3 linked regions of the Saccharomyces cerevisiae S288C genome follow. The protein of the gene in region 2 purifies or fractionates together with the protein of the main gene of each other region. This does not show direct contact. Each region holds a gene or a part of one and is shown on either strand. Other genes may lie near its edges.

Region 1 (4,306 bases), on a different chromosome or scaffold from region 2:
ACCTCCTTTGTTTGTGTTTCTAAAGCACTGTGACAAATCCTGCTTGAAAGCACATGATATCACCAGACGTGTTGCACTATCTTCAGTTCTATCCTAAATTGTTTTCCAGTCTTAAGATAAAATTCATTCCAGTTCGGGTAACATACACCGTTTATGACTGACGCTTCTCTTTACGGAAAATTGTTTTTTTCGCTATTGTTGCAAAAGTACAATGGAAAATGCCCCACTGAAACATGAAATAAGAAGAGAAGAATCAAGTTTATGCAAAATATTGTTAGAGTAACCGCAGCAGATTGTGATACTCAATTAGAGAGATTATTACAATATATATATATATAATGATTACATGGACGTTAATCGTTACATAGAATTAAACCACGCGTAAGTATGGGGTAATCATGAAGTAGACTTCAGGGTTTTTTTCTTTTTTCTTTTGAAAATTCGTTTTGTTTGACTCTTATGTATATTGGGAAGAAAATATGGAAGAAGAGTTATTGAGATTATTTCAAAACCTTACCGTCAACAATTTCCTTATCTTCGCCATTGACAACAACAGGCTTATCCCAAGCCCACATGTTGTTGACAAATTCTTTGTCTTCTTCCTTGGTTGGGTCCAACTTGGTGTATTCGTAAGATTCCCAGTCTGGAGCGACATCAAAGGCTGGAGCGAAATCTTGGCCTCTGACCATAACGGCACCAACAATACCATTATTGTTGTTTTCACCATAGACAACTAAACAACCGAACATGTACTTAGTAGAAGCGGACAATCTGTTGAAAAAACCACCGACCAAGTTGTTGGACATGAAAGTCAAGGTAAGTTCGTCGTTGTATTTGTAACCAACCTTCCAGATGGAGTATTCTTCAGGGTTGTAGTGTTCCCAGAACCATGGCAAAGCAACTGGTCTGGTGTCGTCGTTGGAGTACTTTCTCTTCCAGTCATCCAAGACAAATGTGGACTTTCCTAAAGCTTCCAATGGGTGCTTTGGCTTTTTAGCTGGAGCAGCATCATCTGCTGGCTTAGCTTCGTCCTTCTTCTTTTCAGCCTTTGACTTTTCGGCCTTTGGCTTTTCAGCCTTTTGCTTCTTTGGTGGAGTGTAGGTTAGAGCCTTTTCAGCCAATTTGACTTCAGCAAATGGAGTCTTCACGATTGGAGAAGCAGCAACAGTGTTGAACCATCTCATCAAATGAGGATGCTTAGCTCTCCATTCAGGGCCCAAAATAGTGGCCAAACCAAAAGCCCAAGAACCAGCGGCATGAAGGTCACCTAGAGAAATGTTTTCGGTAGCAACAAAGGTGTAGTCTCTCAATCTAGCATCGAAGACAGCAGCTAGGTTGTCGATTTTAACAAAACAAGCATCAACGTCTTTCTTGTTGTATGGAATCAAACCTTTGAAAGAAAGGAATGGACGAGCAATGTTGCTCATGACATCGGAATTAGCTAGAGATGCCCATCTAAGGATTTGAGACTTTTCGATAACGTCGGAACCTAATAAGCGAGCTCTTTCTTTTTCATCGGCAACTTGATTAGCCACTAAATATACATCATCTCGATGGTTATACAACCATTAATTGAAGAAATGTTAGTAAAACAATCCTTTATATTTTTTCCTGGATTAGGACACGCTTTGTACTTCCTTTTTGTTATTTTGACTTTCATTTTTCTTTAAGAAACATATCAGAAATACAAATATCAACATATGAGAGGTTACCTATTATTACCCATTCAGACAGGGATAACTGTTTGATAAAATTTTTTTTCATCATTATGTTTCGAAGAAAAATGACGTGCCAAATAAACGAACGGGAAACGCGCAAAACAATGTATGTGGAAGTGTTAAAATAAAATATGGAACATACAATAAAATTGGATAGCCAAAGCTTCAGTTAGCTTTAAGCCCTTTGGACCCAAAAATGCAGGGGCTTGCTTCAATGGGAACAAAGAAGCAAACTCGCTAGATTGTTCTAGATCAACGATCTTGACATCTAGTTTAAAGTAAGAAATCAAAGCTTCAGAAGCGTAGTTTCTTGGAGATCTATTAATGTATAAAGTACCTTGGGACATCTTGAATCTATCGAGGGCCAAAATCAAAGAATTGAGTTGGTATTAAGGATGGACACCAGTTTTGAACAAAATTAACGACGGAATGGATGAATTAAATATGAAAAAGAAAGTATTGCAAACTGTTGATGAAAAAAATTTTTCTTTCAATTTTGTCAGCAGCAGAGCGCATTACCCTGCCGGCCACATGCCGAATTAAATTAAATGAGGGCTGCTATTGCCAAATGTGATGGCTTGCCTACAGAGGTTAATTTCCCTTGTTTTGGGCTTCCTCTCTCAACACGATTGACACAAGCAATAGAGGCAAAGGTGTGTAATGAGTTCGTGTACCAATTAAAGTAAAGTAGAGTGGTTTAATTGGGATTACACGATTAAAAAGTTTCACCCAGACACCAAATTGAAAATTTTTTAAAATGAATTCTTTTTATTCTCATCTCCGGTAAAGAAAAGAGGAAAGTACAATAAAAGAGATGAGATGACCAAGAGATGAATAACAAGTGAGGACTGAGACGTTGTTGCAAGTGATAAAGAAAGTCCGGGAATTGAAAGATATAGGAGACTGAGATGAGTAATTCACTTGAGGAGCGCCTTCGTGCTAATTCAAGCGCCTTCGATGGTTTATTGGCTTTAATTCCTGCAAAATACTATTATGATGAAAAAAGTCAAGAGCAATGGAAGGCCAAGAAGAAAACCAAAGAACAGAGTAAAAATGATAAACTGAAAAAATTAGACCCGGAGCAACGTGATGATGAAACATCTAGTACATTAGAAGTAATGAAGAAGAAGGAGAAAGACGCAAAGCCGGTGGTCCTACCTGGTGAAAAATTCAAGCACATGAAAATGCAAAAGCAAAAGGAAGCAACATCAAAAGTGGAAGGAGACTCCGACCTGAACGTAGAAGTAAACGATCCTATGATAATAGCACCAGACGAAGATGAAGAAGAGGAAGAGGATATTAAGGTGATCTTTGATGATGAGGGAAATGAAATACCATTAGAATCTAAAAAAGATACTACAGAGCCCGATAGATCTGTCGAAAAGAAGTCTATTACAGAGGAAGAGAAACTACAAAGAAAGAAAAACTTGGAAGCACTACGTTCCAAGTTACAAGCGAAAATTTCAGATATGAAGAGTAAAAGGAAAGCACCCGGTTCTAGAGAGGCTATTCTTGCTCAAAGGAAACGCAAGGAAGAGTTGAAAAAAAGAAAGCGTCTAGAAAGTGAACAGGAACAGGATCAGGATGAAATTGCGTCTGATTCCGATATGGAAGACATCGATAGTGATTTAGAAAACAATTCGAAAAAAAGATTCAAAAAAGGCAAGAAGGACTCAGAAATTAACGCAGATGGTGTAATGTTTCAAAATATCATATTCGATGATGGTGCAAGGGCCACTTCAGATTTACAAAGGTTAAGAAAAGCTGGTAGAACGAAGGGTCCGGCTAAGAATGATGTAAAATCACACTTAAAGTTATTAGAAGCCAAGAAGAATAAGATGGAGGCGAAAGACGAACTAGAACAAATCAAGCAGAAGGAAAAGGAAAAATGGCAAAAGGCTATGTTACAAGCAGAAGGAATTAAGATTAGGGATGACGAAAAACTACTTCGCAAAGCTATAAAGAGAAAGGAAGCACAAAAGAGAAAGTCTGCGATTGAATGGAGCGAACGTAAGAGGGTTGTGGAAGACACGATATCTGAAAGACAAAAGAGAAGAGAAGAGAATCTGAGGATTAGGAAAGACAACAAGGGTAAAAAGAGAAATAAGCAAGAAAAGATGAAAAGAAAGTATGTCGGTAGTGCCGTACCAAAGAAAAGAGCCGGATTTGAGGGTAGATTAAAAACAGGTAAAAAGAAGGGAGGACCTAAATAATAATCACGATAATAATAACAACAATAATAGATATATATATATGTATGAACATATATATACAGATACATATATATATATATATATCTATATATATACCATCGCATTTTTTCCTTAACGAGAAGAGCACAGCAGAGCTTAAGATGGCATGCATTTATAGAACAACACTCAACACATAGCGGGGGGAGGGTTCTGGAAATACAAATGGTAGTGCAATTTACAGCCTGGATTAAAGGGGGATCTGCAATTGGGACAAATAAGGTTTGAATTGTAGTCGTAATACTCTGCAAACGTCATTTCATGACGGCAAACTCCGCAAATAATCAAGTGTTTATTTGCATCGTCAAGGAGATCATATTTTTCTAGCGGGTGAGAACT
Region 2 (6,729 bases):
TATACGAATCAGAAGCTCAGTTAAGCGTTGCAAAAGAAGAAGCCCAAAAGGCAAAAGAATTTTTGGATAAAAGATCAGTGAGGGAGAATAAACTAAATGAAAAAACAACCCTTTTACGTGATATTAGGACCATCCAAGATGCTTTATCTAGCGGGTCAACGCCGAAAGAGTTATTGGAGATTAAACAAAGGTACGGCATTCAAGATTTTTCACAAGAAACAGTGAGGCAACTTTTACAGTTAGACATCTCTGGATTGGAGGTTAATTTGGAGAAACAAAGAAGTCTCATTGATCGTATTCAAACGCGATTATCCGAATTGTTGTCGAATGATCTAAAATGTGATCAATTTTTGAAGGATCATGGTGTTGAGGATCCTTTGACCTTGAAAAAAAACATCAAAAAAAATTTGTTAAGAAAGCACGTCATGATGGATATGCAACAACCAAGCCAGTAAATAAAAGAAAGAGGAAAGCCGAGTGTCATATTTTCTCAACTAAAGCACTACACTCTGTAAATATATACAACTACAAGACTTCGTTACGTAAATAGTAAAGTGTTATGTTTTGACTTTAAAATATTCTAGTGAAAAGAACGATGTTTTTGATTTTCTATCGTTTAACGCATTTATATATTTTCAGGCAAGTGATATCGAAGATGTGAGTACATCGCTCGTCCCCATCGTCAAAAACAAAAGTAAATAAAAGAGCTCTGCTCTGATTTTACAAACAAGAAAATTCCAAGGAAATAGTCCAAGTTTTATATGACCCCACCTCATTTTTTTTTATCTCTCATAAAAAAAAGATGCATATGCTGGATATGTTTGGAAGAATCCACATATGACTCTACATGGCTACAGCACACGTGCGGTTGCAACTTACAAATTCATAAACGCTGCTATATAAGATGGCTCTATCAAATGCATGTTGAACTTTTTCTTCCGAACACAGTGGACCTACCAAAGGATGCTGATTTACCTATAATCACCTGTTTAAAATGTCTCGTTGATGGGCACCATGATTTTATGACGACTTTCTCTCTTACAGAAATATGGGAAACTCGTCCCATTTGGGGGCAAAAATCAGTACCGTTTCAAAATGACTACGTGTTCAATCTAATGTCTCTTTATACCAAACGGGATAATCATCCACCTTATGTGTTAGTGAAATTTGGCGAATGTCCTCAATGCAAGAAAACAAATTTCATAAAAAGACCTACAGTAACCATCCAGTCTTCTGTACTATCCCTGTTTTATCAGTGGCAAAAAATTACACGATACGTGATACCATTAGGGATAACTAGTTTATTTCTTTTAAACCCTGAAAAGACAAGTTTTGACATTGGATTATGGCAACTACGCTGCCTTTTCCCTGAGAATGTTCTACGAAATATGTTAAACATCAGCACTACAAAGGCATTGGACGTATATGCGCAAACTGAACGTGGCTTATTAAGCATTCCTTTAACCTCCTCGATCATAATATATGGGTTCATACATTATCTTAGCAACATTTCTAACGTCAGTGCTAATGCAATACTCTTTAAGTGGGTGTATCTCAGTATTGTAAAAACTGCTGGAAACAAATATTACAAGGGTATAGGTTTACCTAAAATAATTTTGTATTCTAACTTGGCTACATTTTGCTATAATTTTACCTTTAAAAGATTGGTTGACTTAATTTACAGGAGGCTGATCAATAAAGGAGGTAAGTATTTGTATCACGGAAATTTTGAAAACTCTAGTAATAGCGTTCCAGCTGAGGAATTTTTTATCAGGCGGAATTGGTATGCTATTCTTGCAGAAAAGATACTATGGCCCTTTGTTGGTAAATGTACAGGAGGTCTTCTATTGAATGCTTTTCTATGGATACAGAGAAAGTTTAAAATTGAATGGACGCCGAATTGCTCCCCTTCGGAATTTAGAATGATTTTCAATATTATAGGTTGTGGTACTGCTGCTATAGGCTGGTCAAGTCTGAAGCTCTATGCCAGTTACAAAAGATGTCAGGAACTTGAAAAGATCAATGAATTTATTGAACAAAGTTGCAAAGGTGAGTAAATAAGTCATTCGTAAGTGTACACTAAACTTTAAGGACAGCTGGTAGGACAATTTTATGGTCATTTGACAGCTGATGTCTTAAATTGTGTGCTATGGTTCATGTTTACATTAAGACCAACTTTTTTAAAGGCGCGTAAAGCAGAATCATTATTACAAATAGTAAAAATAAGTAAACAAATTTATATAATATATAAAACATGAAGGCGAAAAAAGAGATTAATCAACTTCTTCCATCTCGGTGTCAGCTGGAACCTCTTCAACTGGAGCTTCGGTAGAAGCTTCTGGAGCGGTTTCTGTTTCTTCATCCTCATCAATGTTCAAACCTAAAGAAATCAATCTATTTATTCTTGATGCAAAAGAAGTTGGTTCTTCCAAACTGAAACCAGAAGTCAACAAAGCGGTCTCGAATAATAAGTTAGTCAAATCTTTGACGGTCTTATCTTGTGCACCACCCTCATCAACTCTCTTTTTCAATTCCTTAATAATTGGAGATTTTGGAGAAATTTCGAAAGTCTTCTTGGAAGACATGTAGGAGGACATGGAAGAGTCTCTCAAGGCTTGAGCCTTCATGATTCTTTCCATGTTAGCAGACCAGCCGAATTGACCAGTTCTGATGGCAGCTGGAGCATCTAGCAATTTGTAAGAAACAACAACCTTCTCCACTTGGTCACCCAAGATATCCTTCAAGGCCTTGGTCAATGGTTCGTATTCTTTGATCTCCTTCTCTCTTTCAGCTTTTTCTTCGTCTGTTTCTTCCAATTCGAAATCTTTAGTAATGTCAACCAAAGTTTTACCCTCGAATTCCTTCAATTGAGTGAAAGCGTATTCATCAATTGGGTCGGTCAAGAACAAAACTTCAAAGTTCTTAGCCTTCAAGGCGTCCAAGAATGGAGACTTTTCGACTGCCTTTAGAGATTCACCGGTGATGTAATAGATGTTCTTTTGGTGTTCTGGCATTCTAGTAACGTAATCAGTCAAGGAAGTCAATTCATCGACAGATTTAGTAGAATTGTAACGTAGCAACTTAGCTAAAGCAGCTCTGTTTTGAGTGTCCTCATGTACACCCAGCTTAATGTTCTTAGCGAAGGCAGAGTAAAATTTGTCAAATTGCTCGGAGTCTTCAGCGATTTCGTTGAAGGCTTCAATCAATTTCTTGACAATATTCTTTCTAATAACCTTCATAATCTTATTTTGTTGTAACATTTCTCTGGACAAATTCAATGGTAAATCTTCAGAGTCAACAACACCCTTGACGAAAGATAACCACTCTGGAATCAAGTCTTCAGCTTCATCAGTGATGAAGACACGACGAACGTACAACTTGATATTGTTCTTCTTCTTCTTACTCTCAAATAAGTCGAATGGTGCTCTCTTTGGAATGAACAAGATAGCTCTAAATTCCAATTGACCTTCAACAGAGAAATGCTTAACGTACAATGGGTCTTCCCAGTCGTTAGAAATAGACTTATAGAAAGCATTGTATTCCTCTTGAGTGATATCAGATGGGTTTCTAGTCCATAATGGCTTAGTCTTGTTCAACTCTTCTAATTCTTGAACCTCTTCTTTAACTTTTTTGGTTTTTGGCTTCTTTTCTTCTTCTTCTTCATCGACTTCTTCCAATTTTGGTTTCTTGTCATCTTCATCCTTCTTTTCCTCGTCTTTCTTTTCTTCTTCTGGAATTGGAACTTCCTTTTCGACTTCCTTGGTGACTAGAAGTTGGATAGGGTAAGCAACGAATTCAGAATGTCTCTTGATGACTTCTTTAATTCTCTTTTCTTCCAAGTACTCCAATTGGTCATCTTTCAAGAATAATCTCAAGACGGTACCTCTACCAATTCTTTCGTTAACTTCGTCCAAAGTAACGGTGAAAGAACCACCGGCATTAGATTCCCAAATATATTGTTCGTCCTCATTGTTCTTGGAAATAACTTGAACTCTGTCGGCGACTAAGAATAAAGAGTAAAAACCAACACCGAATTGACCAATCATGGATACATCGGCACCAGCAGATAGAGCTTCCATGAAAGCTTTAGTACCAGACTTAGCAATGGTACCCAAATTGTTAATCAATTCAGCCTTGGTCATACCAATACCAGAATCTCTGATTTCCAAAACTTTTTCTTCTGGTTTTGGGGTGATTCTAATGAACAAATCTGGTTCGGTTTCCAATTGCTTTGGATCAGACAAAGCTTGGTATCTAATTTTGTCTAAAGCATCGGAGGCGTTAGAGATCAGTTCTCTCAAGAAAATTTCCTTGTTAGAATAGACAGTGTTGATGATCAAACTCATCAACTGAGTGATTTCAGCTTGAAATTCAAAAGTTTCACCAGCCATATTTCAGAATGATTCTATTTTTCTATTGGTTCTGTAGCGTTTCAAGAAAAAGAAAACAAGAGAAAGAATATATCACAAAAAATATAATGCATGTGTTCATGTCACTTACGGTAGGCAGTTCACATGCCACTCTTTTTATACAAATCTCCTCCCTCATTACCCAACGCTTGGTGGAAGTTCGAGAAAACGAGAAAAATTGTTCTTTCACCTTCTAGAAAGAAAAGTGCCCAGAAAACAGAAAGGCGGGTAATAAAATGCATCGGCGGCTATTTTAACTTTCTATTGGTAATGGCTGCTGTTCTATGAATACAAAAAGAAAGAATATAAAAGAACGTAAATATTAATTTTGCCTAAGAAGCAAATTATAATCAAATGCGTAATGGGTTATAAACTATCTAGTACGGTTAAAAGCTTGTCAATCTGTTCACAAACCATGTAATCTTCATCTTGATCACGAACGTAAGATAATAGTGTTTTTAGCTTATCGTAGTTGTACTCAAAGGGAAGTAAATCAAATCCTGTACTGTACAACAAATCATGTATCAAGTGTACGGCACTTCTTCTCATCAAAAAAGAATCATCCTTGTCCTTCAAATGATTTTGTGGTTGTTCTAATTGCAATATTCCAAATACACAATCCAGCATATCGCGAATTCTATCCGAGACACCCCTGGCGTTGATTTGAAGGCACATACCTAAGATTGACATGGATGACATACGCCATCTATTGTCCAATGGTTTACTATCATTTGGCCTCACAATACTAAGACAGGTATCTATAATCAGATAAGCCAATTTACCCTGGAACAATTCGTTCTGACGTTGAATGTAATTGATGAACACTTCTCCAACTTTCAGCACATCATCTAATCTGTTTTTCTTTTTTTTGTTAGCATAAAATTCTGCAAGTAGAGGCAATATGGTTTCTGGCTCTAATTCACATAGCGTTGTAAGTCCTTTAATAACGTTGAGATAAATGAAAGGGTCCATATTCTTTAAATAATCTAAATGTATTTGCAACACCTTTTCCAGTGAAATTACTGGAGACTTCTTTTCAGCTAGATGACGTAGTTCTGTTAAACCATAAGATTTTATGGGCACTAAAGGATCATGTAGACTAGTTATCGCTTTGTCAAGCCTTTCCTCATCCATCTCAATTTCTATGTTGTCGTTCCTTTCCGTAGTATGTCCGTTAATCAATATATTATCTATTGATGCCAATAATGCATCTATTTCGGAAGCATTAGTGTTGAAAGATTGTAATTTTCTAGAAATGGATTTCAATATATAACTGTTTTGCAATAATATACTACTGGACGATTCTGAAAGGACGGTTGATAATAACTGCAAGATAATTTTGTAGGAAGAATTTTCATTTGGATCCAATTCTTCTGTTTCTTCTCCTTCTTCAACTTCGTCGTCAGAATCTGCTTCTACTTCCTGTATTGTTTCATCTTTTTCCTGAACAACATCTATCAATTGATCAATAACAATAAGAACGTCCTTAGGTTTATTAACAATCTTGGTTTTAAATCGGTTGTTCATACATTCCAAAAGTTTCAAGTCCATGAGTATTAACGCGTTATCTGTAACGCTTGGCATCCCGCTATGATTATCGGAAGATCTTTTTTCACTTTTTTTTGTATGATGGACCCATCTTTTCAGAATATCTAAAAATAAAGTCTTTGATTGTTCCTCATCATTTAGCAGCACTAAAAATTCCATAAATAATTCTATCGAAAGGTCCATATCTTGAAGAAACTCAGAAATTTGAGAGTTTTTGGATCCTTTTTCGAAAAACAACTCTGCCATATCTGTGTTTTTAACCGATATGTAGGGTAGCTGAGTATCAAGATCAATTAAATACTTCCATTTCTCGTGCTCAAAATTCAGTAAGTTAAGGCTCAGTACATTTAGATATTGAAAATTTTCTGTTATGACTATTAGAGATTTTAATAATGATAATACAACCTCGTAATACTTTGAGGAAGATTGCTCTGGAAAATGTATGCTGTCTGTGCTTTTATTATCTGAAATAGACAATTTGTTTATTTCTAATGGGTCTAGTTTTTGGTTTTTCTTCAAAAAAAGAGCATATATCCATACATATAAAAAGAACTGTCCAGGCGTAGTACCGTCTTCATCAGGGCAACTAGTAACTAAATCATTCAGCAAATCCGATGAAGAATTTTTGGATAAAGATATAAGAACGTTTATAACATCGTTCAGTTCCTTTGCTGTATGATCAGTTAACGGGGAATTAAAGATAATGGAGCGGACCTTCTTAAACAAAAAATCGTTAACAATCCTCTTATTCCTCAGGTAAAATTTAAGGATT
Region 3 (3,821 bases), on a different chromosome or scaffold from region 2:
TGCATCTCTTTGGATCGCAATGATCAAAATCCCACATAGCCAGTTTAACAGGAAACTTCATTTTTTCTGAATTATCGTACTTCATTTCCATGCGCCTATGGTTTTGCCTGGAACTGTGCCCATTAGCGCCTCTCTGTGGTCTTCCATTTTTGGGTTCGTGCATCTTATTTTTACCTTTTCCCATTGTTACTGCTTACTCAACTGTCTTACGCGAGAAGTTCTATACAGATTTACATAAAAAGCTTTTCGATAAAGTATTTCAAATAGACATTTACTAGTAAAAATTTTTTTATGTAGTTTCTCATCACATTATATTTTCTAGTCTTCTCCGAAAATCGACGAATTTACCTGAAAAAAAGAAAAAGTAAACTACAGTCCCTATTTAAGTATTTCGCAAGTGATCTCAAAGTAAAAATAAAATTCCTGGTAACACTCATCCTAGATAGAGCTATATTTGTATCTACATAACATGTATTGCATTAAAGGCTTATTTCAGTCCACTATTGCTTGTTCTCATTGTCTGGTGTTTCATCTGTAGATTGGGCACCTGCTCCACCAAAAAGATTGCCTGCCATGTTTCTGAGTGCTGGGTTATTCATCAAGTCAGACAAATTTGGAGTTCCTCCGCCTGAAGCAAAGCCTTCAGCCATCTGTCTGATACTTGGATCTTGCATCATTTTTTGAATATTCTGCATTGCACCTGGATTGCTCATCATTTTTTGCGCAGCCTGCATCAATTGTGGGTTGTTCATTAAACCTCCAAGACCACCTCCTAATAAAGAACCAAGATCTGGCAATCCACCCGCACTAGCACCCTGACTTGCATCGACATCAGCATCCCTTGACTGTTCTGGAACGGTTTTCTCCAGATTCAAAGATTGCTCAACCTTCTTCTTGGCACTTTCATAATCCCTTTTCATAGCTTCTGTTGCATTATCGCCCTCTATATCAAGAACCTTTTTGTATGCTTCAAGGGCTTCTTCGGGTTTACCTTGCGCATATTTAGCAAAACCCAATCTAGAGTAGCCTCTGAAATAAGATGGGTCAATAGAAATTGCAGATTCAGCGTCTTTGACCGCTTGATCATATTCTTTCAGGGATGAATGAGCAGCCGCTCTATTGGCGTAATAAATAGCATTCGTTGGTAAAACTTTAATGGCTTCAGTATATTTATTGATTGCCAGTTCGTAATCCTTGTTGGCCATTGCTTTATTACCTTGCATTTTCAAGTCCTCAGCTTTGGCTTTAGTTTCCGCATCATCTTCTGGAATATTAATCTCGACATTCTCAGCATCGTCTTTCTTATTCGATTCTGGAACTCTTGACGCAGAATTTAATATATCAGCAAGATGTTGACCCTTGAATTCAGACTTGCCTAAAATGCCTGAAACAGCTTCTCTTTCAAAGCCAAAGGCTTCAGAGATACAGTCCATAGCAACATTTAAAGAATCGGCGCCATCTTCTGAAATTTCTTTCTTTTCCACAATGGAAGAAAAGTAGTTTACAATAAGGGCAGCAATTTCTTCTTTTGATGCTGACATCGTACAGTAGATTTGTATTAATAAGATATCACTTGGTCAGAAGCTTCTATTCAGTTGTCCGATTATATCGCTCGTACTCATTTTATATGGTGGCAAAATTTGGGATTAAGCGTAGGGCAATAAAACCTTCTCGGATCTTCCATTTTTTTCGATTGGGAAAATTTTAAGACTTGAAAAAGTTTGGAAAAATACAAAAGAAGGGCTAAGTGTTGTGATTAGAATGTCATGACAATAAGGTTAAAAGCAAATATTATGCCGCCTATAGCCCTTTAAAATAGCATAAAAGACCTTTGTAATTTCTATTCAATGTTAAAAAAAATCTTCCCCGCCAGGACTTGAACCTGGAATCTTCTGGTTCGTAGCCAGACGCCGTGACCATTGGGCCACGAGGAACAGATCTTGAGAAAATTAGAGATATTTATCGATACACGTACTAAAAGCAAATTTCATAGTTTTATTTCCCAATAATGCCCATCATCCATTATTATTATATTCAAATTATTATGCCAGTGTGAAAAAAATGGAATGATCATTCCCATACATATTGATGATTTTCGACATAATTATATGCAATGGTATACGCAATTGTGCAAACATGACAATTTTGTTTTGATTCTTTCATTCCATTTTTTGTAAAGGAATAATATCCCTATATAATATGCCAGAGGTCTTTCCTCGAGGATACAGGAATCCGCAAAATGGAATCAAAATTTTACATCATATATTATAATCACGTCTTCCTCCTTTTTCATGCATTACTACTCACGCATCCTATCACATAATCAATCCTTGCGCTTCAATTTCATTAGATTGAAGAAAATATGAATATAAATTTATTAATCTCCTACTTTATATCGTCTTTCAACGCGGTATTTTTTTAATAATTTCTAGTAAAGTGGTTATTGTCACTAGAAGATAATTAGCTATTAGTTTCATAACAATTTGTTATTTTGAAAATGTATAGTTTTATTAGGTGGTATTCATTTCAAAGAATTAACATGTTTAATGTTTGTTAAATCTATGTAACTAAGTTAAGGTTGGTATTCAAATATATCATAAAAAAATTAATGAGTAGAAAAAAAAATAACTAATCTAATTTTGTTGTTCCTATTTAATGTTCCTCGTTACTTCCAGCTCTCCAGCTCTCAAATTCGAAATGTATGAATTTTTAGAGGATCATCATAATGTGAAAATGGAGATGATTTGGCAAAATGAAATCGGAAAAAGAAAAAATTAATGGGAAGGAACAAGACTTGCTTGGCAATAGTTTAAGAATATAATAATTTTTTTTGGGTTTCTTCAATCAGCTTCGTCTGGATTGACCACTGTTAAAACGTTGTTTTTCCCTCCTGGTCCGCCATTTATGAATGTTCCGTTACTTATTCTCCTTGAGTCGTCGAAAGGGTTAATATCAGTTTGCCCTTTGGTGTGCTCCTCCTCGAAGCTACCTGAAGAGGGCCCGTGATTAGATGAAAATGAAGAGGCGTATAGTTTATCAGGGTACTCAACTGGTTTTATCGCCTCTTGGTATTCCTTTTCCATCCTGTCTTGTTCCCGCTTCATATTAATGTGTCTGACAATCAACAAGATACAAAGAGCAATGGCTACGGCTCCCACTACACCACCTACAACGCCGCCTACAATTGCCCCTACATTGGCTTTCTTTTTATGAGTTTTACTTCCACTCGTAGAGTCAGATCCAGCTGTACCTGTGGCCGATCCTGAATTCTGTGCACTTGCCGTGATGGTGTTCGTGACAAAAATTGTGGAACCGCCCTCAGTGTGAAAAGTAGTGGAATAGATTATCGAAGTGGCGTCCTGTGATTGAGAGCTAGTACTGCTCGTTGCCAAAGTATCCGAAGTTAGCGAGCTTTCTGACGTTACAGTGCTCGAACTCTGTGACGTTGAAATAGAGGCAGCTGCTTGAGTTGACTCGGGGGAATTCTGTACTGTAGAGGAAGACGCCATTGATGATGTAGTTGATGATGTAGTCGATGATGTAGTTGATGTTGTGGAGGACGTTGTTGAAGAAGTTGTGGAAGACGACGCAGAAGTAGACTCCGTACTTGAATCTGAGCTGCTTATGCTATTGCTATTTGTGTCAGAGTCAAGTTGGTACACAGAATAGGCATCTTCACCACCACACATCTCACTGCTGTAACCAAAGCAATACGTATTACATGAAGAGGAAGTAGATTCCGAACCAGATGGATTAGTATCACCACAATAACATTCTGAATGATTATAAAGGGCAAAGTAGCTTGCACCTTTTGCGCTACA

Evidence for each region. The genes of interacting proteins can lie anywhere in the genome.
Region 1: the proteins of HSC82 (region 2) and TEF4 purify together in Saccharomyces cerevisiae (affinity purification with mass spectrometry; 4 studies listed by BioGRID). This does not show direct contact.
Region 3: the proteins of HSC82 (region 2) and SGT2 purify together in Saccharomyces cerevisiae (affinity purification with mass spectrometry; 5 studies listed by BioGRID, with this or other methods). This does not show direct contact.

What each region holds. Positions count from the first base shown.
Region 1 is NC_001143.9:280,650-284,955, reverse strand, and holds TEF4 (translation elongation factor EF1B gamma), read right to left. Parts: upstream 2,066-4,306; coding exon 1,861-2,065; intron 1,772-1,860; exon of another isoform or gene 1,677-1,771; intron 1,535-1,676; coding exon 501-1,534; downstream 1-500. Other genes in the region: ribosome biosynthesis protein RRP14, read left to right, coding at 2,627-3,931; HOT13 (Hot13p), read right to left, coding at 4,097-4,306. UniProt on the Saccharomyces cerevisiae protein: Subunit of the eukaryotic elongation factor 1 complex (eEF1). Probably plays a role in anchoring the complex to other cellular components.
Region 2 is NC_001145.3:630,017-636,745, reverse strand, and holds HSC82 (Hsp90 family chaperone HSC82), read right to left. Parts: upstream 4,392-6,729; coding exon 2,274-4,391; downstream 1-2,273. Other genes in the region: mitochondrial 37S ribosomal protein uS17m MRPS17, read left to right, coding at 1-455; YMR187C (uncharacterized protein), read left to right, coding at 762-2,057; RTP1 (Rtp1p), read right to left, coding at 4,776-6,729. UniProt on the Saccharomyces cerevisiae protein: Molecular chaperone that promotes the maturation, structural maintenance and proper regulation of specific target proteins involved in cell cycle control and signal transduction such as CNA2. Undergoes a functional cycle that is linked to its ATPase activity.
Region 3 is NC_001147.6:338,438-342,258, forward strand, and holds SGT2 (Sgt2p), read right to left. Parts: upstream 1,542-3,821; coding exon 501-1,541; downstream 1-500. Other genes in the region: ribosome biogenesis protein TSR3, read right to left, coding at 1-184; SLG1 (Slg1p), read right to left, coding at 2,841-3,821. UniProt on the Saccharomyces cerevisiae protein: Co-chaperone that binds to the molecular chaperone Hsp70 (SSA1 and SSA2). Regulates Hsp70 ATPase activity. Required for recovery from heat shock.